4 linked regions of the Diceros bicornis minor genome follow. The protein of the gene in region 4 binds, or shares a complex with, the protein of the main gene of each other region. Links are inferred from orthologs where the notes say so. Each region holds a gene or a part of one and is shown on either strand. Other genes may lie near its edges. The genes, in order: HCAR1, RGS1, HRH3 and GNAI1.

The links.
Region 1: the proteins of GNAI1 (region 4) and HCAR1 are in contact, whole or in part, in a cryo-EM structure (PDB 9IZD), measured with the Homo sapiens proteins. The link is inferred for Diceros bicornis minor from reciprocal best matches to the Homo sapiens genes GNAI1 and HCAR1. Residues at the interface, in NP_002060.4 of Homo sapiens: Glu28, Arg32, Leu194, Asp315, Thr316, Glu318, Tyr320, Phe336, Thr340, Asp341, Ile343, Ile344, Lys345, Asn347, Leu348, Asp350, Cys351, Gly352, Leu353, Phe354; in NP_115943.1 of Homo sapiens: Lys48, Ser50, Thr51, Leu54, Arg113, Lys116, Val117, Pro120, His121, Asn125, Thr126, Ser128, Leu203, Arg206, Gln208, Leu209, Gln212, Arg214, Met215, Lys217, Ala218, Phe221, Ile222, Ser281, Ser282, Pro283.
Region 2: the proteins of GNAI1 (region 4) and RGS1 are in contact, whole or in part, in a crystal structure (PDB 2GTP), measured with the Homo sapiens proteins. The link is inferred for Diceros bicornis minor from reciprocal best matches to the Homo sapiens genes GNAI1 and RGS1. Residues at the interface, in NP_002060.4 of Homo sapiens: Val179, Lys180, Thr181, Thr182, Gly183, Ile184, Val185, Gln204, Ser206, Glu207, Lys209, Lys210, His213, Ala235, Glu236, Asp237, Glu238; in NP_002913.3 of Homo sapiens: Ser105, Glu106, Phe107, Ser108, Glu110, Asn111, Ser143, Asp144, Ala145, Ala146, Gln148, Ile149, Asn150, Ile151, Asp152, Phe153, Arg156, Leu181, Lys184, Asp185, Ser186, Arg189.
Region 3: the proteins of GNAI1 (region 4) and HRH3 are in contact, whole or in part, in a cryo-EM structure (PDB 8YUU), measured with the Homo sapiens proteins. The link is inferred for Diceros bicornis minor from reciprocal best matches to the Homo sapiens genes GNAI1 and HRH3. Residues at the interface, in NP_002060.4 of Homo sapiens: Ala31, Arg32, Glu33, Val34, Leu194, Thr219, Lys314, Asp315, Glu318, Ile319, Tyr320, Thr321, Thr340, Asp341, Ile343, Ile344, Asn347, Leu348, Lys349, Asp350, Cys351, Gly352, Leu353, Phe354; in NP_009163.2 of Homo sapiens: Asn69, Asp131, Arg132, Ser135, Val136, Ala139, Val140, Ser141, Tyr142, Arg143, Ala144, Gln146, Ile221, Ile225, Arg228, Arg232, Phe344, Thr345, Phe348, Arg349, Arg352, Asp353, Lys355, Val356, Ser359, Leu360, His416, His417.

Annotation. Positions count from the first base shown.
Region 1 is NC_080774.1:7,532,591-7,538,695, reverse strand, and holds HCAR1 (hydroxycarboxylic acid receptor 1), read right to left. Parts: upstream 1,501-6,105; coding exon 523-1,500; downstream 1-522. UniProt on the Homo sapiens protein: Acts as a receptor for L-lactate and mediates its anti-lipolytic effect through a G(i)-protein-mediated pathway.
Region 2 is NC_080777.1:22,037,392-22,044,996, reverse strand, and holds the start of RGS1 (regulator of G-protein signaling 1), read right to left. Parts: upstream 3,008-7,605; 5' UTR 2,092-3,007; coding exon 1,955-2,091; intron 1,587-1,954; coding exon 1,506-1,586; intron 1,087-1,505; coding exon 1,025-1,086; intron 1-1,024. UniProt on the Homo sapiens protein: Regulates G protein-coupled receptor signaling cascades, including signaling downstream of the N-formylpeptide chemoattractant receptors and leukotriene receptors. Inhibits B cell chemotaxis toward CXCL12.
Region 3 is NC_080758.1:1,872,994-1,880,043, forward strand, and holds the start of HRH3 (histamine H3 receptor), read left to right. Parts: upstream 1-4,042; coding exon 4,043-4,292; intron 4,293-5,328; coding exon 5,329-5,495; intron 5,496-6,673; coding exon 6,674-7,050. UniProt on the Homo sapiens protein: The H3 subclass of histamine receptors could mediate the histamine signals in CNS and peripheral nervous system. Signals through the inhibition of adenylate cyclase and displays high constitutive activity (spontaneous activity in the absence of agonist).
Region 4 is NC_080742.1:17,728,162-17,735,183, forward strand, and holds the start of GNAI1 (guanine nucleotide-binding protein G(i) subunit alpha-1), read left to right. Parts: upstream 1-4,007; 5' UTR 4,008-4,287; coding exon 4,288-4,405; intron 4,406-7,022. UniProt on the Homo sapiens protein: Guanine nucleotide-binding proteins (G proteins) function as transducers downstream of G protein-coupled receptors (GPCRs) in numerous signaling cascades.

The sequences.
Region 1 (6,105 bases), on a different chromosome or scaffold from region 4:
AGAGCCTCACTCAGACTGAAATAAAAGTATTGACTTACTTCAGTTTCTATTTCCCAAGATAAGTAACAATTTAAGGTCAGAAGACAGGAAATACTGGTAAGTCATTAAGTTCACTAACTCCCTCAGAGAGAGCACAGGACTAGTTTAAACATTGGTACCTATTCACTCAGCCATTTAAAATTACACAGGAGCCCAGCTCTTCCTAACCCCCTGCCCAACACACACATGCCCCATTACATGCATATATTGTCCCTTGTCATTGTAATCAGATCATATATATGCAACCGACTCACATCTCAACTGGGACCTTCCAAAAAAGCGTAGTAACCCGAATTTCATTTCCAACAGTGAGGAAGATACAGCTAAGAAAGGGTGGCATTTTCAAAGCCCCCTACCCCTTAGCATGAAGTATTTCTAAGTCGTCCATCTGTCCTCCTTGATTTTGTCTGTTTGTCTGTTTTAGTGCCATTCAACACATGCGGAGATGCCACTGGACATCGGGTTGGCTTTGGAAGCTATTTGTTACACTGATGCAATTCTTGCGACAGAGGTTGGAATTGGCGTCCCTTCTGGCCTCCGTGTCTTGGAGCCTCCCGGACGTTTGGGTCTCAGACCGCTGATTTTGAGCTTGGAGTAGAATTTGGGGAACGAAGGACTTGAAAAGTAATACACCAGGGGGTCCAGCATGCTGTTCATGTAGGTGAAGCTGAGGGTAACGTGGAGGGCTACGTGAACAGACGGATCGCAAGCGCTCGTGGGCACCGTCCAGAGGAAATACAGTCTGGCCGACACGCTGGGCAGGTAGCATATGATGAACACAACGGCCACCACCGTGATGAACCGGGTGGCCTTCTTCATCCGAGTCTGCCTGGCCAGCTGCTGCCTCTGCTTCAGGCTCCAGATAATCTTGAAGGAGCAAAATAAGATGATGCCAAGGGGCAGGAAGAACTCCAGCTGGAACATGACGTCGTGCCAGCCATTGGCTGACTCCATGATGAAGCTCTCACAAGATATGGTCTCCTTTTGCACACACAGATGGTTCTCCATCAAAAGATGCAGAGTGCCCAGGATGACCATGGTCCAAAGGGCACAGACGATGCCAGCCGCAGTCCGGTTGGAGATGGTGTTCACCATATGGTGGGGGTGGACCACTTTGAAATACCTGTCCACAGCCACCACCGTAAGGAAGACGATGCTCCCAGCCCTGTTCATGGCCAGCATGAAGAGCGCCACCCGACAGGGAATATCCTCAAAGGCCCAGCGTCTGTGTCTGTGGTAGTAGTCTGTCCGAAAGGGCAGGCAGATCATGAGAAGAAAGTCGGCCACGGCCAAGTTGAAAAGGTAAATAGTGCTCGGCTTCCAGGTCTTCATGTGAAAGCAGAAACCACACAGGGCTATGCCATTGCCCAGGGCGCCGAGCACGAAGGCCAGGATCAGCAGTGGTGGCATCACCTGAGGGATGGAATCCCCCTCGATGACGCAGCATGACTCGTTGTCCATGGTGGACAGAGGGCAAGTGCTCTGTGTGCCAGGCTGTGGGGTCCCCACAAAGACACAGATGCTTATCTGACGCTACTGCTCGCCCGGCTGCTGTTTTTCCAACCTCTTCACTCTGGGACGCAGGGACCACACGTGTACGTGGATGCAGCCACTCCCAGGAGAACAGAAACCAGTGAGGAAACGAGAGATTCGGGGAAGTCCTTTCTCTGGAGCCTGGGTCACAAGCTGCTTGTGTCCCCGAGAGCCGAAGCCTGTAGCATCTCAAGGCTTTGAAATGCATGTAATTTCGGACAAGCGGTCATTTCGGGGAAGCGGCTGGCAGCTCTGATGAGATTCATGCTGGAGAGGAGTTGTGGGGTCCAGCCCCAGAATGGTTTTATTTTCAGCCTTATGCCTTCTCCTTAGACTCACTCTGTGCTGGAGAGCACACAAAGCTGCTCAGAAGGTACGAGAAAAGCTTGTTTGTTCTCCCTCCCGGTGGAGAAATACAAACACTTCCCGGGGCCGTTCTGGGCCTCTGCCTCTGCTTTCCTCCCTAACCTTTGCCTGACCGCTCTGTCCTCTCCCCCGTCCCAGGGGGCGCTCCCAGGCTGTGCCAGACGGGAGGCTTTGCTCTCCCGTCCTCAGAGCCATTTCCTGCGCCCACACCCAGAAATACAGCACTCAAACCTTGGAAGGGTCTGCGGAGGAAAAAAGCTCTGAAAACTGCACTTGTTGGTTGGTAAAAAAATTCCTTGAAGTGTGTTGCCTTTCCTCCCTCCATTTGCAACTCCGACCCTATGTACCCTTCCGTGGACCCAAGTGACCAGTTGCACAACCAGCAAGACCATGAAATGCATCTGAAGCCACTTCTCATGGATCTGTCTCTGTGAAACAGGAGCCAGCTCCTCCCTCTGCTGTTTGCAAAAGAGGATTTGGCTCTGAGTTTCCCACTGGCTGTTCAAAAAAGCCAAACACCATGATATATGTTTTTATTTTGATTTATTTATTTATTTATTTTTGTGAGGAAGATCAGCCCTGAGCTAACATCCATGCTAATCCTCCTCTTTTTGCTGAGAAAGACCAGCTCTGAGCTAACACCTATTGCCAATCCTCCTCCTTTTTCTCCCTAAAGCCCCAGTAGATAGTTGTATGTCATAGTTGCACATCCTTCTAGTTGCTGTATGTGGGACGCGGCCTCAGCATAGCCGGAGAAGGAGTGCGTCGGTGCGCGCCCGGGATCCGAACCCGGGCCACCAGCAGCGGAGCATGAGCACTTAATCACTAAGCCACGGGGCCAGCCCATGATATATGTTTTTAATTTTAATTAAAATCAATTAAATAAAATCAATTAATGCTGAGCCCACTGACGGGGGCAAATGAAGGTCAGGGCGGTTGGTCAAGGAGTCTATCTCTAAAATAATTGTAGGTAAAAATAGATTGCACCAATGATGGGAGTCTTTGCTAAAATTTCCTCTCCTTTGGCTTTAGAGCTGACCTATCTGCCCTGTGCCTTTCAGCTCCCAGCTGAGGAAACGGGTGGGGGAGGGAGTGCGTTGAAAGCATGCGGATGCCTTTTTCCAGATGCTGACTTAAGCTAAATTCTTCCCACTGAAGCCTGCACTCCAGATTAGCCCGACAACATCCCTCTCTGCCCTCACCCTAGCATGACCACTGTCACCTCCCACCTGTTGAAACTGTTGAAAGAGTTTCCTAACTGGTTTCCTTTCCTCTAGTCTATTCCCTGTAATTCCTCTCTCATTCCACAATGTGGTTTTTCTAAAGCACAGATATGATCATATCCTTTTTTCTCACTTAAAAACCTTCATTAGTTCTCTTCAATACCAAGGTGATAGACTAGATGGCCTGTGGGCCATATCTGGTTCAAAAACCAGTTTGGTTTAAAAACCTGGGACCATCCTATAAAAACCTGGATTTTCAGCATCTCTTGGGAAACTGAAGATCTGGCCGCACTGGGCCAACAATCCCACATAGTAACAATCAGCTGGAGCGGAGAGTAGCCGCCTCCTTTAGTCAGGGCAAGAACTCTCCATTTTGCCACAGTCCCCACAACTCCCTATTACATGGTCAGTTTCAAGCATTCACATGCCTGGTCTCTGTGGTATTTTGAGTTTGTCACCTCGGCTCTAGGTAAAGGTCACATTACTTGGATTGGTATACAAAGCCCTTCACAGGTGTTCCTAAACTACCTTTCCAATATCATTCTCCTGCCACTTTCCTCCTCACACCCTACTTGTTAGTCTCATAACTTCTAATAAATAAGCGTGTCCATCAGACATCTAAATTTAGCTCCCTCAATAATCCAAGAGGTCTTTGGAGACAAAGTCCATGTTCTTGCAGGAAGGACATAGAATAAGGATCTGAGTGACTAGCTTCTACTTTTCATGAGAGCTGATAGCAGACACTTTCACTCTGGGGGCCTCTGGGATTCTGTGAGAAGACGTGAACTAACAGGAGGTAACTAATGTGGGCTGTAACACTCCAGGGTGGGCAACACTCCAGGGTGTGTAACTCTGAATACCTTAATATGGTCAAGCTGGATTTTTCAACAAATACAAAATATTCTTGCTTCTGTGCTGGCAGATGCTGTTGAGATTCTTATAAACACAAGTGCTTCCCTTTTCCTGCGTGACAAACATCTGCTTTTCTTTTCCACACTCTTTCTGTCTTGTCAAATCACCTTCTCTCTCTCTTTGACTGTAGAATTAGCTGGAAGGCAGAGGATTAAGAAAGAAAAGATAGGTTTCTTTTTCTCTGAAGGTCTACTGTTGCATGTACGGGGGCAGGAGGTATGTGGGAAATCTCTGTACCTTCCCCTCAATTTTCCAGTGAACCTTAACTGCTCTAAGAAAAGTAGTCTTAAAAACAATGTTAAACCAAATTTTGTTACTGATCTTATTGTTACTGCTAGCTACTATTACAGTACCTAATGTAAAATAGAAGCTTTATTGATTTAAAAATGTTTATTCAGTGGACCTCCTAGGTGTTTTTGCTATATGCTTCAGGATCTCCCGAAAGAGGAAGGTATTATCTGCTGTTTGGAGCTCAGTGTTTAGTAGGGGAAATAAGACAAGTACGTAAATAACAATAAATAAAAGCAAATAGAATAAGTAGTTTAAGGTAATATTTTCCAAAATGTGGTAGATACACCACAGATGATAGGTGAGATTATTTTAGGTGATATAGAGTAATATACATATATATTTTGACTTTATAGCTATAACTTTATTTTAATATGTGTTTTAAAAAAATGCAACTGGTTCATTGGAGTTTTGTGCATGAGGGAGAGTTGTTAAAATTTCTAGGGGCAAAAATAGAAGGAACAGACATTCCAGACAAAATGAAGAGCATGGAAAAAGTAAGGCTGGAGGGGGCATCTGAGGAACCTTCGAGGAGTTTGGAATTTGGAGTCTATGTCATGGAACTGTAAGGAACAAGACAGGCATGTCCAGTGGGGCTGTTTTGCAGGGGACCTTGAATTCAGTGGCGGTTGGGAGCCATTTTTGAGTGAGTGGCATTGTAAAGCATTGGAGGAATAGTTGAAAAAGAGAGAAGGGAAGCAATAGGCTTTTGTTCCCCCTCCTCTGCTCTCTGCCTGCCCTCCAGTACTGCCCATTGTCAACCACAAATTCTGCGGGCTCAGAGTCCCTGTTTTCTCTTTCTAATGTGTTCCATGGTGAGCCATATGGGGGATATTATAGATATCCACATCAATATTATCACTTAAAAAAAGTTTCTCATCCTCTTCCTCAGATTGCACATCAGACAAAGGGAACTGTTAGCTCTATCCATCAAATAGCTTAAGCAGTAAGCTTCCTTCCTTCTCCTTCCTTGCTCACCACAATCCCCAATCTGTTGATCATATGCCCTAAATCTCTCTCCACCCGCAGTGCTACCACTTTGGCTGGTCCAAAGTTCTGGAGGAACACAACTGCCTCCCGATTGGTCCTCCTCCAATCCATCCTCCAAAGATCAAATCTGGTCGAATGCTCGAATAGCTCCCTCTTGTCCTTAGCAGGGAATTCGAGATGGCTGACAAGGCACCACGGGAACCGGCCTTGACACCTCCAACAAGAGCCATAACTATGTTTAGTATCCAAAGGCTGTCTTATAGGGACCACTGGGGGAACATCTCCTTCCCTCCTGGTCCTGGATAACTCCTCTTTTTTTGGCCTCAGCCTAGACCAGTATCTTCCAATAGAACTTCTACAATAATGGAAAAGTTCTGTAATATACATGTAGCTATTGAGCACTTGAAATAGGGCTAGTGGGAACTGATCTTTCAATATCTTTTAATTGTAATAATTTAAAATTTAAAAGCCACCTGTAGTTTGGGGCTACCACATAGGAAGCCCATGGGACACCACTTCTTCTAACCCCCAAGCCTTCTGTGAATTTCCCTCTCTAGTCTGGGTTAGACCTTCTTCTCTGCACCATTTCTGCCACCCCCGCACTTAGCATGCAGTATTGTAACGTGTCTGACCCCAGCCCCCATCTCTATGAAGACTAGCTCTGGGTCCAGTTCAGCTTTGCACGCCCAGAACATAGCCCAACGCCTGACACCAAGGGGACACCCAGTAAATATGTCCTGAATAAGTAAATGAA
Region 2 (7,605 bases), on a different chromosome or scaffold from region 4:
ATTAACATCATGTTAATCACTAACAAATATAATTTCCCCATTCAATTCATGTTAGTCAGAAAATGTGAGACCTATATATGACCTATGTGTTATGTACTGATTATATTTGCTAGTGTTACAGAGACTTTTAAATGGGCCATTTCTATTCCATTTATCTGTTTGGCTGAATTATAAACTAAGTCAGATAATAAGACGGATGAACCAGGCTGAACTTCCTCATCTCCAAGCAAGGTTCCTTCAGGTGTTTGTGGGGAGAAGAAGATAAGCTCACCCCCTAGATAGAGACAAGCTGCTCATCTACACCTCTGAACCAGGTCCTGATCCCAATAGAATTGCAGTGCCTGTGATGAGGGTAAGGCAAGCTGATTTCATTCTTTACCTTCTCTCATCAGAAACTCCCCACAAGACTCTGTGTTTAAAAATGCTTTTTATCATATCTGTGTTATTACATGTCATGTTATATATAATGCAATTATGTACTGTGTGTCTCAATCACCTGCAAGACAGTAAGGTGGCAAGGAGCTGTGTCTTGGCTTTTGAATCCTTGGTGCTTCTGAAACGCATGCCACAGAAAAGTGGGCTGAATGAGTGAGTTCATGAATGTATGGAGGATAAAACCATTAACTGACTGAATGAATCCTCCTCCTTACATCCAACATACAAAAAGACATTCTTTAGGTAGCTTTCAGAATAGCAGTTCACATGTTGAGATGTTTGGTTTACTTTTAAAAACTTCAGATTTCAGAACCCCAGTGTAATTTTTAATTTCGCTCCTATAATGATCCGTGGAAACACTGAATTGTCCTGGCAAATTTGTCTAGAGGACAGTGGGAGAGCTGAGTGTTAAGTCAACATTACACCACAATGAGGCATAATGTGCTGAAGCTCTCAGCGACTACAGAAAAACTGGAATACAACTTTTCACACACTCTACTATCCAGAATACTATGTTTGAATGAAGCCATTCAATCTGTTAGTGTATCGAGCTAAACTCCTAAACATTCAATAGTTCATCTATGCTTACTTTGGTTGGCAAGAAGTTTTTCCAGAGACTGAGACCATTGCATTACTTCATCAGCAGAGAGTCTGTAGGGGACAAAATTTACCTAAATTAGTAAAATATTTTTTTGTGTAAGCACAAATGGTATTAGAATGGCTGCTATACTGTGATAACTTCACAAACTAAGACTCTAGTTCTAATAAATTTTATTAAAATTTGGCCAAATGAAAACAAAATTTCCCTTAGAATTACTGTAGTTACGAAAATATCTGCCAATAAAATGTGAAAAAATCCAGATACATATACTGCAACAGTATGGTAAATAGCAAATACATGCACACACGTTTGTATGTAATTTACATTGGTACTAATGTAATCTAATCTTATTAGGCTTGTTATTTAAAAAAAATGAAGTCCATTAAGTGCAATAGAATTTCCTGCTAGAATATAGAGCTAAAGCATAGGCCACTTTTATAATGATCATTCGGAGTATTAGCGTACATACATGTCCTTAGACTTGGAAGGTTTCATTCCAGATTCCAGATGTGGGATCATAGATCTCAAGTATGCTTTCACATCCATTCCACTATAAAAGACACAAAAGTAAATATTCATATTTCCTCGGTAGAATACATTTTATTTGAAAAAGAAAAGAGCATGAAATAAACTTCTCCAAGGAATAAGACAATAATAAAAATAGTTGATACAACATTTTGCTCTGTTAAGATTGAGCCCATTTTTATGGGCCAAAGTCTGGAAAAGTTCTCACCTAATTTGTTGCCCAATCATGATTCATTTTTTAATACAACTGTATATACTTATAACTCAGAACAGATAATTGCTCTGATCTGGCCAAACTAAATGCTCATATTTTCTTCTACTCATTCTCAATCCTTCTGCCATTAAAGATAATCTAAGTCAAAATTCACAAAATGAGGCACTGAAGGAACTTACAAAGTCTTTGCCCTCCTTTTTTGCGTCTTGTCGTCTAGAAGTGAGTGATCAGTTCCTTTCAAGTCCTTTGGATTGGCAGAGAAGAACATTCCTGGCATTTTGTCTAACCTTGGCGTGGGGACGGCTGCTGCTCGCATCGTCCTCGCAAGGCAAGTGTCTGCTAGCCGCCGTCTCTGCTGCTTTATATAGTAAATGCTCCTGCTGTTCAAACTGAGTCTGTTTATCAAGTGATATTGCCACAGACGCTGGAAGTTCCCCCTTTCTTGGTGTATTGTGACGTGTATCTTGAAAAAAAAAAGCCTACAGTGATGTTTTGTGGTTGAAACCTAACCGAATGAGACTAGGTCACTTGATTTGAAAGAAAGGAAGAGAATTAAACATACAGAGACACACACATATACATCACATGTCTACAGCATTAGCAGCATGCTTCTTTCCTTCTAGGTGATGCTTGTTTTTTCATAAAATTGCATATTTCAATAAAATGTTTCATTTGGTGGATATATTGTATCACAAAGAAACTCAATATTAGAGATGTATTGAGTGTAAAGAAATATTTTTTTGTTTATTTGTGCATATATCTGGTAGGAAGGAGAGTTATGAGAGGTTATCTTAACTTTTCCCCACTCCAACCTTCATCCCTTATTTCCACGGCAAGATATTTTCATGTTAGTATTTCCCAAGGTGTGTGCTAGACATTCAACTGGTGGTATATAAGCTGATTTTAAGGGGCGCATGGATTTTAATATTTATTAGGAGTGTAACTAATATATCAAACTGTGATTTTTCTGTATATTACTGCTGGGGATAAGAATAAAGTAAAATTAAAACGAAACTATAAGCAAATAAAAGTATAGTTATCACAAAAATATGACATATATGTAAATATACTGATACTAAAGAGTTGCACAGTATCAGAGGAAAAACTGCTCAAGGTAAAATAACAGTATATTTGGTCAGGCCAATAGTGTGTACTTCTTAGGTGATGATCTCCCAAATTTCGGCGGTATCTCTGGAGAGATATTGTCTAGCTCTAATGAAGATTAGGGATTAAAAATACCCCCAAGGAATTAGATGCCTAATCACTGATCAGGGCAGAGGAATTAGTGCAATATAAGCTCTTATGAAGTTTAATATAGAGTGTGGTTTGTTTACAGAGTGTCCAGTTTAACTTAAACCTCCTTTGGTTTTTGCCCCTGAAAAGATAAAACAAATTTTACTTAGAGAGGCTCCTGATGGTGTTAGGTAAAGCTGACAAAAGGGAAGGGAGTATTACTTTTCCTATCTTGGTTCTATCATCAAGATAAAAAATATTTGGAGGAATCACATTTATAGTATTTCAAAATTCACTTTCTACACAGTCATGAACATATATTGTATGTCTATTGTAGGAAGCATCACTTGATGTTCAAAAATTAACATAATTCATTTAGAAAGAGAACTAGTGGGGGCCGGCCCGGTGGGGCAGCGGTTAAGTGCGTGCGCTCTGCTTCGGCAGCCTGGGGTTCGCAGGTTTGGATCCCAGGCAAGCACCGAGGCACCGCTTGTTAAGCCATGCTGTGGCGGCGTGCCATATAAAGTAGAGGACGATGGGCATGGATGTTAGCCCAGGGCCAATCTTCCTCAGCAAAAAAGAGGAGGATTGGCATCGGATGTTAGCTTAGGGCTGGTATTCCTCACACACACAAAAAAATAAATAAAAGAAAGAAAAAGAACTAGTGAGATGAACCAGCCACTTTGGCAGTGACCCAAACAAAAATGACAGGGCTCAAAAACTGATGACATAAAAGCATTTGTTTGTGTATTTCTTGTGGTTCAGTCCATACTTACTTATCTGTTAAGATCTTCCTGCTCATGTTTGTTTATCTAGTCTTCTCTCGTTCCTCTAGATAATTGTGGGTAAATTATGTCAGAGAAAAATGATTTAAAGTTTATTTTTAGTGGCCCACTATTACTAATATCCAAACATCCTGACAATTTCCAAAGTATCTTTCAGCAACAATAGTTCCTTTGGATGTTAATAAGCATAATAAAGACTACAACAGCAACAGTTGCAAAGCTTACGGGGCCACATTAGTGTAGCAAATACTGGGTTAAAGTTAAATAAAGTTCTTAAATTGATCAATGCAGATATTCTGAGAGCTTTTAATAAGTTAATGCACATTTGTTAGTCTCTAAAAGGAGGGTAGAATATGCAGCAGTTTCCTAACAGTTTTTTTTATAATTTTTATTTATTTATTTATTTATTTCCCGCAAAGCCCCAGTAGATAATTGTATGTCATAGTTGCACATCCCTCTAGTTGCTGTATGTGGGACGCGGCCTCAGCATGGCCGGAGAAGTGGTGCGTCGGTGCCTGCCCGGGATCCGAACCCCGGCCGCCAGCAGTGGAGCGCGAGCACCCAACCGCCAAGCCACGGGGCCGGCCCTTCCTAACAGTTTTGAAAACTGAACCCTCATTAGGTAGGAAAAATAGTTTGCAGAAATAACGTTCTCTTGACACGACATTTAGGAAACTCCAGTCTGAGATAAAAATCAATATTCGCATCATATACATTAATACTTCCTTTAAATCTCCAACATTTTGCTACCTCAATATAGACTTGGAAGCTTAAGCATTTGCAAGCAGTTATAACTGCATGCTTCCAAGCCTAAATAGAGAATTAAACTCCTGATAGAGGGGGTCCATCTGAAATTTCTATATCACAATTGGCTGTTGAAGCTACCTCCGTGGCATAGTAATGGAGCTGCTGTCTCAAAGGATGCTTGCTAGCACATGCCAAGCCAAGACGCGCCAGGGCCAGGCAAATCTGGCGAAGCTGTGCCAGCAACGGCTGATGAGTCCATGGCAGGGCCTTGAAAGTTCCCTATTAATTGCACAGAGAGCATCACTGTCTGGCCCCTCTTTGTAAAACTCATTAAGAAAAGACAAGTGATCAAATAGTAACTTTACTGAATCAATGACTTTGGTTGAAATTGTAGAAGATTTGATAAAAACTAATAGAAGAAACAGTGGCTCTCACAAACATAATCTTGTTTGTGTATTTCCTCTGAATTGTGCCTAAGTAACTAGGTTGGAGTCCTAAGAAAAGGAGGACTTCATGCAGTCTTAGTGTCATCTTTTTTTAAAAAAAAAAAATAATAGACTTCCTTTTTAGAGCAGTTTTAAGTTTACAGCAAAATTGAGTGGAAAGTACAGAGTTCTCACATACTGCCTCTGACCCCACAGCCTTCACCACCATGAACATCCCGCATTAGTGTGGTATATTTGTGGTATATATTGATGATGAACCTGCATTGACACATCATTATCACCCAAAGTCCTTAGTTGACATTATGGTTCACTCGTGTTGTACATTCTGTGGGTTTTGATGAATGTATATTGACATATATCCACCATCAGAGTATTATAAACAATAGTTTCCCTGCCCTAAGAATCCTAGTGTTATCTTTTAAAATGTCTAGGAGATTGGATCAATAAAACATTTCAGATTATGGCTATCAATTTTGATGGGAAAATTTTAATCTTTGCTAAGTTGATTTTACGTTCTGGTTCCCATCACTCCAATGCCTGAGTCCTAGTAGGGACTGCTTTGTTGAATGACTTTTTCAAGCTTGATATTGATTAAGCTGATGTTAAGCCTCTATAAGATTGCTGAAATTTTGTTGTGGACATTAGGAATTATGGGAAAAAGGACAATAATGAGTACAAGATTGCATCTTAAAAGTAAAAATATATCTATACTGCTAAGAGTCGGTGACATGAACAGAAATGTTGATCCATTGAAAGAAAATGTCTTGACTGAACAAACTTTAATCTCAGTCCTACAATGTATCAGGCACAGGTACTGCAAATAGAAAGCGGAATGAGTCTCTGTCCTAGGGAGTTCACAGTAGAGAAGGGCAGACAGGTATTTAAGCAAGTAATCAAAGTGAAAAGTGCCATCGGAGAGGAATGTACAGAGGAGCGATTAACTCTGGAAGCTGGAACAGAAGAAAAGGACTGTTGCCACTTACTACACAATCAACATGTACTTATTCTCTGCCTGTTTCTGCATTCGAGATCAACACCCACTGGAAAGTACAAAACACCGCAATGGAGAAATTGGTCTTCAGCCAGTAGACACCTCTTACATGTATAAAGATCATGGAAGAATGGATCCTATATGTAAACACAGAGCCTTGCAGAGTTTAAAAGGGGCTCTGAAAGACTTTGTTGAATTAGCATAACCACTCAATGGTTAGGGGGTTAAGACAAAGGCTCACTCTGACAGCTTCCAGCCTTATAGTAAGGCTACCAATTGTGTTTCAGTTACATTTCATAGAGGTTATTTGAAAAGCTTCAACAAAGATGAATTTGGAGGGATTTTTCTCTATGTCCAGGTAGAGTATTGCTGGGGACATTGATGCCTACTTTATATCATTTATGAATAAGAGGATTAAACATTTTAAACTTGTTTATAATCTTATTTTCTAAATGAAGAAATCAGCTGATCAATTTTAAAGAGAAGATATTTGCAACTTGGTGAAATTCAATGACCTCAGTAAATGCAAACTGAGCAAGATAAGAATCTAGTTTCTTTTTCTCACCCAGTTCTAATCAACTTATAGTCAACACTGAACATCTCCTTTCTATATTTTAAGAGATTATGAGAAAATTGAATGTGGGACCTTCAGTGAACTGGGCTCCTGGGATTCTATAAACCTCACTCACCCTAGATCTCATCTTACCAGTAAAGCTCTCATTAATAAGCCCATATTCCAAGTCATTCTGAAAGTACTAAAAAATCTTTGATTAATATTATCTCTGATGTACTTCCTCCACAGTGGATTTGTTTACATTTACTATCACTCTATGATTTATAATCATTTCAACAAGGGAGAGTAGTCACGTCAAAATCTATTTGACTATGCTTTGCAAATAAAATTTAGCAAATATCTAAGTGTCTTAGTCCCAAGTTCAAATAAATGGAAAACTATGCTATAAGAACATTGACACATTATTTGCAGTTGGACTGGAACATTCTGTTACATAACACAGGACATAAATGCAAAAACAAAGATACTCGAAGGTCAACATGGAGAGACAATTTGTAAAGGAAAGTATATTTTTATTATTAGGAAGCAACATCAATAAATGACTAATAGTCTAGTCAAATTTCTAATAGTGTTAACTTTCCTTTTACTGTACATTAAAGTGGTTGACAACAGTGATTTATTTGCTTTGTTTTTTCCCCATTAATTATGTGATTTTCCTAGGAAAATCTACCAAGGTTGCCTGACGTGTTCTGGTCTTTCCAAAGCCATGCAATTTATTTCTCATGACTACAGTATCTGCACTTTCTCTGTGTCTTTTCCAATGTTTTGTTTTTGTGTTTATTTATGTATTTATTATATTTATTTTTTTTTACCGAGTATTGATGTTAGACCTGGACATTTATATAATAAATATCATACTCTCAAAATAAGTCATACTCTACCTGCTTGTATAAGCACATTGAAGTCAAAAGAGAGTGGCTGCTCTAAGCATGATTCTACTCTTGTTGTGGATACAAGCAGTCTGTTGTGTTCCACTCTTTCCTGTGCCTGCTCTGTCCTCTTTGAATAGGCTTGGTTTATTATCCTACACTTCTTCTATTTTTTAATTAAATGA
Region 3 (7,050 bases), on a different chromosome or scaffold from region 4:
TGAGGCAAGCCCACACCTAAGCAGGTATGTGAGGACCATCCACACAGCCCAATGTAGTCAACTCACCACCAGGTGGTGATTTGTTCTCCTCAGGGAAGGTGCCAAACTGGGGGCTCAGCATTGGTCTAAGTCGGTGGTGGGTCAGACACTCAGAGGTGGCAGTGGCCAGATCAGCCTCTGCAGGGGGGAGTCCACGCTCCTGGTCCATGCGTGACCTCTGGCGAGACCACTTCATTTGTGCTGTCATGCCAGTTATGGGTGGCCAATGACAGGGGCTTGCTGTCACCTCTTCCTAGTGGATGCTTCCTGGTGGGTGTTTGTGTGTGACACAAAAACCTTCATGCTGGTGCCCATAGTCACATGTCCATCCATGTGGTCCAGCCCAGAGCCCCTTGTCTCCACCTCCATCCTGTTCCTTCCAGGCCCCTGACCAGCCCACCAGGACATTGGCCACTGCCCCTGAATCCATAGATATTCTCAACTGGGCCACTTTTCCGTCCACACAAAGGGCATGACCAGGTGCTTGAAGCTCTGCCCACTGGAAAGATGTGTCCCTCGTCTCAGCTGCAACACAGCAGCAGACCCCAAAGGCACTGCCACTGGGGGCTGTCAGCTCACTGCACCCCCTTACACCCCACGGCCCCCTGGGCCTCGTGCCCTGGCACTCCCCGTCCCCTGCCTTGCTTCATTTCTCTCCAGAGCACTTGTAACCTCTGACGTGTGCGTTACTTACTGCGTTACACTTGCCTCCCTACACTAAAACGACTTAGCAGAGAGCCTGAATTTAGGTGCTTAATAAAACCTTGTTGAATGGACAAATGAACCAATCAATTGATGAGTCAGTAGGGGAGCCATCTCCTAGGGAAGGTTTGCAGGGGGTCTGGTTTGGCTAATCTGGCTACGGTTTGTGTGGATGGGGCATTTGCCCAATGGCTTCCTTGTTGGACTAGACAATTTGCACCCCAGATGCCGGCTGTTTTGACAAATGAAGAAACCAGGGTCCCAGGCCACTCTCTTTGAGGGAGTCTGGGTGAGCCGAGAGTAGGGGTTTGCCCTTGTCCCCCAACCCTTAGCCAGCTTTTCCCAGCGTCTTGGAGGGTTCCCAGCCATCCTGGGGCCTGAATACCCAGTCCTTGGGTCAGAGCCCCCAGGGCAAGATGCCCTGTGGACAGCCACATGGGGACCTGCCTTATTCACTCCGAATTGCCTTGGCCAAGTTAGGTCCAGCCCAGAGGACACCAGGCTCCTGTCCAGACTAGGTCAATGCTCTAAGAGTTGGTACGTTTGCTCGCCTCAGGGCCCTTGATCTCAGGGCCAGGAGTGTAGCCATTAAGAGAACAGCATCTGGCCTTGTGTGACCTGGGGCAGGTAGGTGGCTTCCCCGCTCTGGACAGGGGCTACTGGTTCTACTCTCCTTGTAGGGGGAGTGGGGAGCTAATGAGGTCATGCATCTAAGTGCAGATGGGGGGTGCTCACCACCCTTGGCCATGGTCATCCTCAAACCTCTGGGCCAATCCTGGCCCTCCCTCTCCTGGTGGCCTCCCTTCACAGAGGAAGATCTCCACGCTCAGAGAAATTTGGTAACTCCCCCGAGGCACACAGCTGGGCCCCCGGTGCCCAGGTCTGAACTGAGTCCATCTCTCCCCCCAGCTGTGGGTGAGAGACCACCAAGGAAAGCCCCAGAACACTGATAGCCACAAGGACAACTGTGGCTAGGCTTGACTGAGACTGTAAAGGGGCCGCCCTCTACACAGACTCCCCCCTGACTCAGCCCTCTACCCTGACAGTAAGCAGCACACAGTCTCCATTCCAAAGTGGGGATCCTGAGACTGGGGAGGGGGCTCCCAGCCAGTGATTGAAAGAGTCAGAGCCCCCCTCTCAACCCCTATCCAACTCCATCTCCCAAGGCCCGGGGGCAGGGGAGCACCCCTGCAGCACTGTCTGGCCAGAGCTGGCCTCCGGGGAGTTGGGGAGGAGCAGGGCCTGGGGGCTCCACTCAGCAGGCAGCTGCTGGCTGAGCAGGGGTCCATGAGTGCTAACTCAGCACCAGAGGCTCAGGAAGTCGCGGACGATGGGAGCAGCACCTTGTTGCCCCTCCAGGAACTCTCCACCCCGGCTTGTCTCACCATCAACCAGCTGCCTGGTCCTGGCACAGCCCTGCCCACCAGGCACGTTGGGGTGCAGTGAGGGGAAGCTGGGGGAGCCTGTAAGAGGAGCAGGGCTTACTGGTGGAGAGGAGGAGTGTAGCCAAGTACTCAGGAAGAGCTTCTGGGAGGATGAGCTGGAGCCCCCCACCCATCCCCCAGCACAGGCTGCGAGAAGCCGTGAAAGAGTGTCTGCTGGGGCAGGATCTGGGGTCTCCTCCCTGCAAGCAACCCTGAGGAGGCAGTAGAGGGAGCCCAGCCCCCACTCCCCAAAGTTTGTGAAGCACCTCTTGGGGCTAGGGGAAGGGGTGGGTCCTGGCATGATCAGACAGCTGCTATAAGTGTGGGGGTGCCCGTGCATGCCAGTGCCTCGGGGGCCGTCTGCCACCCCTCCTCTCCTCCCGGCAGCCTCGCAGCCCCCACCCCCACACGCAGATACTCATGTTCCCATCCTCTTTGAGGCTTCTGCAGATGTGCGCCGCTGGCGACAGAGCAGAGAGTCACTGCTTCCCTCTCCCTCAGGCACTGTTCCCTCGCTGTCTGCTGTCTGATGGGTGTCTAACTGCCATTCGTGGATCCCTAGCTGGGCGGCTGTTTCCCTGGTCTGTAGGTGTCTGTGTGTCTGCGTGTGGGCGTGTCTGTCTGTCTCGCCGTGAGTGTCTCCTGCTGAATCTGTCCTTGACCCTGTCTATCTGAGCGTGTGTCTGGGGGGAGGGGGCTCTCCCTCCTGCCGCCTCTCCTCCTCCATACCCGCAGGCGCTAATGCCGCTGCCGCCGCCTTCGCTGTGCTCCGATCACAGTGACCTCGTCTGTCCCTGCAGCAGCGACCGCCTCACCGCTCTGTCCACCAGGGGGAATCTTGGCCGGGCTCCGAGTCGCTGGCTGCTCCGTCCTCAGCCTGCGGCCGCCTGAGCCCCAGGTGGAAGCGCTCCTCTCCTGGCTGGGTCCACTGGCTCCCCATCTTCCCTTATGTAACTCCACATCTGTCTGCGCCTTGCAAGTCACCCTGGACCCTGCGCTGGGCCCACGGGGAGACTGAGACCCAGAGTCCCATGCACGTGGGGGTGGCGTGGACCCCTGGCCAGCGCACGCGCTCTGGGAGACCCCTCCCATCCTTCCTCCTTGGGACGTTCCCTCCCCCAAGACCCGCTTGCCCGAGCGCGAAACAAGGCGGGTCCCGCGGGGCAGGTTCCCCGCGCGCGGGCGCAGGTATTTCCTCCGCCCCCACTCCAGGTCCTTGCAGGTGCGCCGGATCCGGACGGAGGCCTGCCAGGAGTCAGCGGGCCTGAGGGCACGGGACAGTCCGAGCGGCCCAGAGGCCGGCTCCTGTGTGCGCGGGCCGGCCGACCGCAGGCGAGCCCCCAGCGCGGCGCCCGCCCTGCCGGGGCCGGGCTCCCCGCCAGCAGCCGTGCGCACGGGGTTGGGGCTCCAGCGGCCGGGCGGGCACGCGGCGCTGTCCGTGGTGCTGCCGGCGCCGGGCGGGACGAGGGCGGGGCGGGGGCGGGGCGAGGGCGGCAGCCAATGGCGGGGGCGCTGCGCGGGGCGCGGGGGGCGGCGGGCTGGGCGCGGGGCGCACTCGGCTGCGCGCTGCACTGGGGCGCGCCGACGCTCTGGCGGCGGCTCCGGGTCGGGCTCGGCTCCGGGTCCGCTCGGGCTGCAGTGGTCGTGCCTCTGGCCCCATTCGGCTCGGATTCCGGCCCGGGCCCCCTCGGTGCCGCCCGCCCCGGCCCCTGCCCCGGCCTCGGCGCCCACGGACCATGCGCCGGGCACCGCCCGGGGATCCCGGCCGGGCTGAGAGCCCGCAAAGACCAGGCTCCCGGGCCGGGGCCCCTCCCGGACGACTGGCCGGCGGTCCGCGCCCTGCCCTGCGCTTCGGCGCCGCGTGAGCCGGCGGGGCCATGGAGCGCTCGCCGCCCGACGGGCCGCTGAACGCGTCGGAGGCGCTGGCGGGCGAGGCGGCGGCGGCGGGCGGGGCGCGCGGCTTCTCCGCTGCCTGGACCGCGGTACTGGCCGCGCTCATGGCGCTGCTCATCGTGGCCACGGTGCTGGGCAACGCGCTAGTCATGCTCGCCTTCGTGGCCGACTCGAGCCTCCGCACCCAGAACAACTTCTTTCTGCTCAACCTCGCCATTTCCGACTTCCTCGTGGGTAAAGCCCCCAGTCGCCGCCCGAGCGCAGGAGCGCCCAGCCCCGCCCGGCCAGTGGGGACTGGAGCTCGGACCTAGGGTGCCTTTCGCTCGGGCACACGCCCCGTCAGGGGGCCCGGCCTGGGGAGGAGGCGTCCAGGAATCGTGGGGCGGTGGGCGCTGGCGAAGTTCCTTGCCTCCCTGCCTGTGGGACTGGTGCTGGGGAGGGATGTTCCCCGGGAAGGGGCCTGCGCCGGCAGGCGCTCGGCGAGGCGCAAGGCGCAGCGGCTGCGGGTGCAGCGCTGGCTCCTGCGTTGTAGCCAAACAAAGGCTGCGGCGGATTCAGGACGCGCGGAGGGCGCTGGGGGGAGATTTGGGGGAGGGGACGTGGAAGGGGGTTTTTAGAGTGTTGAGGGAGGGGACCGGGGAAGGCGTGGGGAGATGCTTCTAGGAGCGCGCTCTCACGTGTCCGTGCGCTGCTGCCAGCTGGGGGCGGGGCGCGTAGGGGGCCGGAGCGCCAGACACCTGTTGGGGCTGCGAAGTGCGTCTGCCAGCGCTGTGAGCCGGGCTTGGCGGTGGGAGCGGCTGGCGGGGCGGCGGCCAAGCGCCTTTTGAGTCAGGAGAAAGGCTTTCTCGCTTTCTGAGCTGATGAGGAAGAGCTGTCCAAAGGCCAGGGGAGGCGCAGGGGTCCAGCAGGCCAGAGAGGGGAGGAGATGTTCCTTCTTCCTCCCTTTGGGGACTGGGAAGGCTGAACAAAGCCTGGGAAGTACCAAATTAAGGCTCGGGGTGTCATGGTGCCTGCCCATGCCTGGAGCTTCCCTCCTGCGCCCAAGTCCAGGGGACTCCAGTGGGACTGGGGGCTGGGCAGGGGTTGAAGGCAAGTGCAGGGTAGAAGGTGTGCTGAGGGGATCAAGTGGAGGGGTGGGTAAGGTGAAGGCTGCTGGTCCCAGAAAGGTGGCCACCATGTGACTCCCAGGTCCTGCCTGTCTCTCCACTGTGGTGGGTCTGACCCCAGGCCCTTGTCGAGCCTTGGCCCACCATGCCCTACTCTCCCACAGGGGCCTTCTGCATCCCACTGTACGTGCCCTATGTGCTGACTGGCCGCTGGCCCTTTGGCCGGGGCGTCTGCAAGCTGTGGCTGGTGGTGGACTATCTGCTCTGCACCTCCTCCGTCTTCAACATCGTGCTCATCAGCTACGACCGCTTCCTGTCGGTCACTCGCGCCGTGAGTCTGGGATGAGGGTGTCCACATTCACTCCTGGAGGAAGGGGGACCACAGGAGGCACCAGGCAAAGGTTGCCCCCTTCCTAGTTGTAGGTGGTGCCAGGTGGGCTTGGTCCCTGCTGACCTCACACCTGACACACCAGGTGCTCTATGGCTGGCTGCCCACTCAGTAGCCATTTGCTGCGGGTAGGACTGATCCTGGGACACACAGGAGGCACAGTCTGGACCCGGCATCAGGTGTTCCTGAAGGAAGGGGGTCACTTCAGCTTCCACCCTGGGGCAGGTCCAAAGTCCCTGGAGCCGAGGGAGGATCTGGGTCAGAGGTCCTTGGTGCTTCCCCACCACAGGGGTGTGTGTGTGTGTGTGTGTGTGCGCGCGTGCACGCACGCGCGTGTGCGCTCATGTCTGCGCCCCTGGAAGACAGGTGTTGGCTCCTGGCTTCACAGGCTTCGCTTGGTGTGAGTGGCCACCATGAGTTAGGGACCTGAGCTTCCTGCGTCAGTGCCGTGCGGGCACACAGCTGCACTGGCACGGAGGTCTCTCCTTTGCCTTCTCATCTTCTCTTTGATGGCTTATCGGGCACCCCAGGGCCCTCTGCTGGGGGTGCCACATGTGTCCCAGTCTAGAGGGGTTGTGGGACAGAGTGCAGAGAGCATAGGTCGGGGTCAGACAGACTTGGGTCAAACCTCAGCTCTGTCCCCTGGAGCGGATTTTCCTGTGGTCTCTCCCTCCCTCCCTGAGCCATCGGGAAAGTGGGGATAATGACGGAGTTGTTGAGGATTAAGTGAGATGATATCCAAAAGGTGCTGAGCACAGAGCCTGGTGCACAGTGGGTACTCAGTAGACAGGGGACCATGACAAGACACCCCCCCGGGAGCGCACAGCTGGTGGGGGTGCTAAACAGGCAGCCTGGCACAAAGTTAGCATTCAGATTGGTCTGGAGCAGGTTCTGAGGCTATAGGAGAATGTGACAGGGCATCAGCCAGCCCAAGATGCATGGCACAGAGGGGAGAGAGGGTGGGGAGGAGAAGGAAAAGGCATCGCTGTGAAGGAAGGCAGTGCACAGAGGCCTAGAGGCTGCCGAGGAGCCCCCAGGCCAATATTCCTGCCACAGTAGGCAGCAGCCTGCCGGCCTGGGCTCAGTCCCCTTCCCTCCTGACCTAGCGTGTCCCACCGCAGGTCTCCTACCGGGCCCAGCAGGGCAACACGAGGCGGGCGGTGCGGAAAATGGTGCTGGTGTGGGTGCTGGCCTTCCTGCTGTATGGGCCGGCCATCCTGAGCTGGGAGTATCTGTCCGGTGGCAGCTCCATCCCCGAGGGCCACTGCTATGCCGAGTTCTTCTACAACTGGTACTTCCTCATCACTGCCTCCACGCTCGAGTTCTTCACGCCCTTCCTCAGCGTCACCTTCTTCAACCTCAGCATCTACCTGAACATCCAAAGGCGCACTCGCGTCCGGCTGGACGGGGCCCGCGAGACGGCCGACCCTGAGCCCGCGCCCGAGGCCCAGCCGTCCCCACCACCAGCCGTGCCAGGCTGCTGGGGCTGCTGGCAGAA
Region 4 (7,022 bases):
TGATCTCTCTCTTTCTGTGTGTGTATACATGTCAGGTTGTCCTGACTCTGTCTTCTTCTATGGTTCCCTCTTCTCCCCACACTAATCCATCAACATACCAAGCCAACACATCTCAGATAAACTCTCCTTTCCCACTTTTGCTTGTTTTTCTGATGGCAGGATGAGTGGGGAAAAGGTTGGAGGCCAGCAGTTTCTTAATTTTAATCTCAGTTCTTACACTAATCCCATTTGACTTCTGAATAATACAGAATCTCACGGTTGGAAGGGATCCTAAAAGTTCTTCTATATCTAAATCTTTCCCAATATGCGACCATCTAGTCTAGATTGTTACATCTTAGTTAAGAATGTGTGAGTTTCTGAGGTGCGCTATTTCCTTTGTGGGGAATTGTACACTATTTTTTCTCACATCATGATAAAATTTCTTGCTATAGCTTTCTTCCACTACTTCTAAATCTACCACTTGAATCCACACAGAAAATGTCTATTCCCTCTGATTTACAATATCTCTTCAGTCATTTGGAAATAGCTATCATGTCTCTTTGTACCTTCTCATTTGTATCCCCAGTTTCTTCAATTATTTCTTATGACACAGTTTGGAGTTACTTTAAGATTTAGATGCTCTCAGCTGAATGTGTCCCAATTTGTCTTTTAACATGTCTCTAATTTTCTTAACATATGATGCTCAGTATAATTCAGCAATAAAAAGAAGTGAAGTACTGATACATGCTACAGCATGGATGAACCTTGAAAACCTTATGCTAAGTGAAAGAAGCCAGTCACAAAAGACCACATACTATATGGTTCCTTTTATATAAAATGTCCAGAATGGGCAAATCTGTAGAGACAGCAAGTAGATTCGTAGTTGACCAGGACTTGAGGGGATGAGGCGGGGGTGGTGGAAAGATTGGAGGATAATGGCTATGGAGTACAGGGTTTCTTTTTGGGGTGATGAAAATGTTCTAGAATTGAGTGTCATGATGGTTGTACAACTCTGTGAATATACTAAAAGCCACCGAATTGTACACTTTAAATGGATAAATTATATGGTGTGTGAATTACATCTCAATATAGTTGTTTAAAAAATATGATGTCCAGAAGGGAAAACAGTACTTTGAAGTAGATTGCTTTAACCTCTGTATTTCAATTTCATTCTCTACAACATTGATGAGTTAATATATCTGCTCTACCTCCTTGACAAGATTGTTGAATCACATTTTGCAACATCATAATTATGTAAATTATTAATTTGAATGACTCTTGCCACCTCATACGGTATTACTAAGACAATCTACTTGCTGGTAACTCACTTGTTTTGTTGGGTAAGAGATTTTTTTTTTAAATACCTATTACCCAATTCAGGAGAACGTAAGGAACACTTAGTACCCATTGTATAAAGTCCAACTCTTCACCTTAATATTTAAAGCTCTCTTTCAACTTTGTCCCACACTTCCTATCATTCTTCGCAGCCAAACTACATTTCAATGACAAAACAACTGCTTTCTCTAACATGTACATTACACATTAACCCTTTTAGCTGGTTATTCCTCTCAAACAAAATATATCCTATTATGGACTGAATGCTTGTGTCCCCCCCAAATTCATATGTTGAAGCCCTAACTCCAATATAAGGCTATTTTGAGGTGGAGCCTTTGGGAGGTAATTAGGTTTGGATAAGGTTATGGGGGTGGGGCCCCCATGATGGGATTAGTGTCCTTATAAGAAGAGGAAATGAGACTAGAGCACTTTCTCTCCACATGTGAGGGCACAGCAAGAAGGTGGCCATCTGAAAGCCAGGAGGAGAGTATTCACTGGGGAAATGAATTGGCTGGTATTTTGATGTTGGACTTCCCAGCCTCCACAACTGTGAGAAAGAAATTCCTGTTGTTTAAGCCAAACAGTCTATGGTATTTTGTTACAGCAGCCCAAGCTGACCAATACATACCCCTTGGAATTCCACAAAGATCCCCAGTCATGGCTTTCTTCTTCCTTCAAAAGGTTTTTCAAAACTTTCTTCTCTCCGAATTTCCCCTCATACTGATCGCTCCATTCCTATGCCTCCTCTCAGAAGTTTAGCTTCATATAAAGCTATGTTCTTATTCACAGAACTCTTTTCAGTTCTTATTCATCCATGTATTATATTTTGCCTCCTCACCTACTTGATAAGCTTCTCAAATGAGAGGGGTAATGTGTATAATTCTGTTATAATTTCTTTTCTTTAAAACACAAATTTTTTATCATTTCCACCAGTACTCAGTTATGATTGCTTCCTCTTTTCCTGTCATTGTAGGTCCCACACTCTATATGGCCTGAAGCTTATAGGAAAGACAATAACAGATAATCCAAAATGGCTAATACACAAACACTATGTTGAAAGTTCACTCCATCAAGTTTAATTCCAGAGTTTCTGAGGAACATTATCATTTAGAGTGCCAAGAAATACAAAGAGGGTAGAAGGTGACTAAGTACACTTTAAGGCTTGCTCCTTCTTGTTGTTATATTATGAACAGTTGAGGCAGTTCTTGAAATGGCATCCCTTGAGCCCAGCAGCTTTGTAGGAGAACAGGAAAGGGCACGTCCAGTAGGGAGGACACTGACAGTCTCTGCTTGCCCACAGGCCTGGCCTACGTGACCCGCTCTAAAGCTATTCTGACTGTAGCATCAGCTCAGCCTCACACTGGAAAACTCAAGCCCAGTTTTACCAATGGCTTTTAGAAAATAAGACTTCCAGATGCAAACCAAAGACCAATTTCCTAAATTTTAATACATCAAAGAAGATATTTTTCTTTGCTACCAAGCCCATGTTCTACGCAAACAACATTTCCTGAGATGTATGTAAGGGAAAGGTGCAGTGCGCAGTGACAATGGCAGGAACAGACCAGAACTTAAACCTATGCTCACTAATTGGATGCTGAGCAGAATGCCTCAGCAGGCCCCAGGAGCTGATCTCCCCCAGACCATTACAGCTGGGAGGATGGAGTGATGGTGTGGATCAACTCCTCATTTTCTGGGCAAGGAAGCTAAGGCCTGCAAGAAGGAATGACGTGCCCAGTGGCTTATGATTTACTCACATGGTCATAAATATCGGTTCAAACTCGGCTCGGAAGCTTACATGCCGCCCCAGAGGAGAGCAGATTTGTTTGTGTGGGTGTGTTTTATAGCTCTTGTCATTTTAAAATACACTCGTTGATTCTTTGTCTCACATTTTCTCAGGTCGTGAGGAAATCCTTCCAAATGTGCTCTGCTTGTGAAAAGAAACGTGAGAATGGATGGAAGGAGGAAAGGAAGGAAAGGAACACGGAAGGGAGGAAGCTGACCTCCTATCCTCCTCCGCAGACTTTTCTATTCCCCCGTATCCCCAGCTCTGCTTTCGCCACGGCTCCGTTCCCTCCCCAGCTCCCTCTATTTTCCACAGCCCAGGAGGCCGGCCGACTGGGCTTTGCGTTTCGGAAACCCTCGCGCTGCTGCCGGCGCTGGGCATGCTCAGACGCCCAGGACGGGCTTTTTTCCCCTTCCAACTTTGGCAGCTCTCCCACCCGCAGCCCGAAGGGGCAGGTCCGCACAGCTCCCTCGGTGCGAGCAAACCCGGAGAAATTATCCGCGCCCGCGAAGGCAGCGAGATGGGGGGGCTCGTTGGGCAGCTCCGGGTTTCGAGGGCGCTTCCAAGGGGCGCGCGACGCCCGGGTGGCCGCCCTCCGCGCGGGGGCGCGCGCCCGTTGAAGGGGCCGCTGTCCGAGGACACGTGCGCGGGAGCGCGCTCCGGGAGTGGTCGCGGGGCCGGGATGGTGGGACCGGCGGAGGGGGCGGGCGGAGCCGCGGGGGGCGGGAGCGCGCTGTGGGAGTGGTCTCCGGGGGCGGGTGGGCGGGGCGAGGATGGTGGGAGGGGCGAGGCCTCGGTGGGGGCCCGGGGGCGGGGCGGAGCGGGGCGGGGCCACAGGGGGCGGGAGCGCGCTCCGGGAGTGGTCGCGGGGCGGGGCGGCGGCGGCGCGCGGACGCCAGCTCCCTGGGCTTCTGGAGGCTGCGGCGCGGCCAGCGGCAGGAGGCGGCGGTAGCTGTTGCCAGAACCCCGACACCCGGACTTGTGGGGCACCGAGGGGCACCGGGAGCGGAGCGGCCGTGGGGAGCAGCGCGGTGTGCGGCCCCTTTGTGGACAGCGCCTTCCCAGCCGGTCAGGAGGGGCGGCGGAGGTGGCCGGCGCCGGGAGGGTGGATCGCCCGCGTCCGGAGAGGAAGCGCTCACCTGCGTTGGGGACTGCACGGCCGGAGGGCGCCGCGCTCTCGCTCGGGCACGATGGGCTGCACGCTGAGCGCCGAGGACAAGGCGGCGGTGGAGCGCAGTAAGATGATCGACCGCAATCTGCGCGAGGACGGCGAGAAGGCGGCGCGCGAGGTCAAGCTGCTGCTGCTCGGTAAGGGCCGGCGCCGGCCCGGGGCCCGGGGGGCGGCGGGGGCGGGCGCGGACTCCGGGGCGTGCGGAAACCCGGGGGACGTGTCCCGGCCGCCGATGGCGCGTGTGGTAGTGCCCGAGATGGTGTCCGAGGGAGCGTGTCCGGTCCTCGTCCCCCCTCCTCGGCCGGGGAGGACTCCCCGCGGTGGGCGGGAGCTTCGCTTCCCTCGCTCGCGCTGGTGTGGACCCCCGAGGGCCGAGGAGTGGATCTCGAGGAAGCCCTTTTCTTTGGAGTTAGCTCCGCCGTGTGAGGATGAAGGGCACCCGCACAGTAAGAGCCCCCCACCCTTCCTACAAGGTGCGCTCTCGCGGTTGTGGTTCCCCACGGGCAGGAGCGCCAGGCTTTGTGAAGTCAGCGCACCTTCTGCGGGGCCTCCGTGGCTTGCAGCGTGTCTCCACCGGCGACTCGGTCAGTGTGAAGGGAGCACTGATTGCATTGACCCCCCGTGAGAAAGTAGGCTATGCTGGGTGCTCCATTTCTGTTACTGTGGGGTCCCGGAAACCACCAGAGTTGGTAACATTTGCTCTAGTGAGATGCTCGAGCGGAGAAAGCCGATGGGAAAGGTGCGAGAGGGTCACGCCGAAGACGGCACTCCTGGCCGCCTCACTTTCGGATGGATGAGGTTGGCCAGGTACTCGCCAAGGCTTTCATTTGTTCTTAGCATTGTTCTCTTAGTGAAACGCTGTGTGAAGGTCTTTTCCAGTTGTTTGAAAGGAGAGAACATAAAAAGAGTGAGCCAGGGTTTTGACTGAGGGATACATTAGGAAATATTCACAGCCTAAGATTTGTAGTTGTATGAGTTAGGGTTTTCTTTTGTTTGCTTGTTTCCCCCCCCCACCCTATAGTATTTAAGTAGATGAAAGGTTTCTTACAATCTTAATTTGCACTCTCAGCGGTTGCTTTTAATTTTATAACAGTTATAATAAAAGGCAAATATTGCACAAGCTTCTGTTTCATTAGTTTAATGACTGCAGGAAAAATGGTGGTTTTTTTCCTCCGTTACTAGTAGGCTTAGAAGCAGAAACTTGGCGTGACTAAAAGTAATAATGATCTGAGTCATTTTTCGAGCGAACTGTGAAATAACTTTGCATTTTAAAGACCTGGCTGGCTTTCTTCACCCCCACCCCCAACATTAATCTTTCTCAGTTAATACTGTTTGCTTAAGTTTTTACATTAATAAGAAATACCCTATTTTGACGAGGGGAGTGTATTTTTAGTGTATTGAACATAAAAGAGACACACCTTGGTATGGAAACATGTAGATGCTCCTCTTATGAATTGAATGTACTTGAGGCAAAAATGCAAAAAAAATGATTAAAAAGTTATTTTCCTGCAGTTTCTGCACTCCTGCTCTGATATATTATTTCAGTGTATTGTAGTGTGACTCTTAGTTTGAGCCAGCCGTCCACCATGTTTAAAGCAGTTGAAAAATGAACCCTCTGGTGTTATTTTATGCTTTAACTAGATGTCTGTTAGAGAGAGACGGACTGGGATAAAGGTCCAGGAAGTTGGGTTTTGCTTCTACTCAGAAGAGATCGGTGTTTCTCAGTCTTAGCACTGTTGGCATTTTGGGTAGGATGCTTCTTTGTGGTGCAGGCTGTCTTGTGCATTGTAGGATGGGAGCATGTCTTTGGCCTCTACCCATTAGATACCCGTTGTAGCCCCCTCAACCTGTGACCCTTGAAAATGTCTTCATATATCCCCAGATGTCCTGTGGGGGCAAAAATTAACCTCTGCGAGAACCACTGTTCTAGATTAATAAGTAAATATAGTTGAATGTGTAATGAAGAACCAAAAGTTGCATCTCTATAGCCAACTATAAGAGAGAGTTATGAGAAAGTGTAGCAGAGTCGTGATTTTCAGAAGAAATTGCGGAATTTTTGTTTCTCTGTGCCAGTAATGTCAGAAAGATTTCTAAATGATTTTTGAAATCTTTAGGTAACTGAGTTCCGTCTGCTGTCTTCTCTGGCTTGAGTCTTTTCCCTGCATCTCTTCTCTGTGTGGAGATTCTGCCGCATTCCTGGCTTGTGGGCCCAGCACTCCTCCTCCTTCCCCTCAGTGTCTGTCTTACTCCCACTGAACTCTACCCTTTTGCCCAGAATTCTAGCACCCTAGTTCCTATAAACAGAATACTGGCTTACTTATTTAGGAAATCATAATTCTTGAAATGTTTGAAAACATTTCTTTTTCCCCTGATTTGACTTTAGCGGGAAGTGTTGACCTTTGGTTCTTTTCTGGATGTTTAACGTCATATATATAAGCAAGTCAGTGGAATCGTTCCATATAAAACACGGCAACCGAATCAACTAGGAATATAAAATGGTTTCCAGGTAATCTGTAACGAGGGTCACTTCCATTTACATCAGGTCTTCTACCTCTTCTATTATTTTGTTTTTCTCATCACATGATTTTTTTTTTCATTTAAGGCAAAAAGCCTCTAAAATATATTTAAGACATATATTAAATAGTTCATTATATTGCATTTTTCCTTACGGCCTGTATTGTCTTTTTAGACATCTGGGTTGAAAGATTCAGGTATGAAACACACATTATTAGTAAAAAGCTTTGGGTAGTGGGT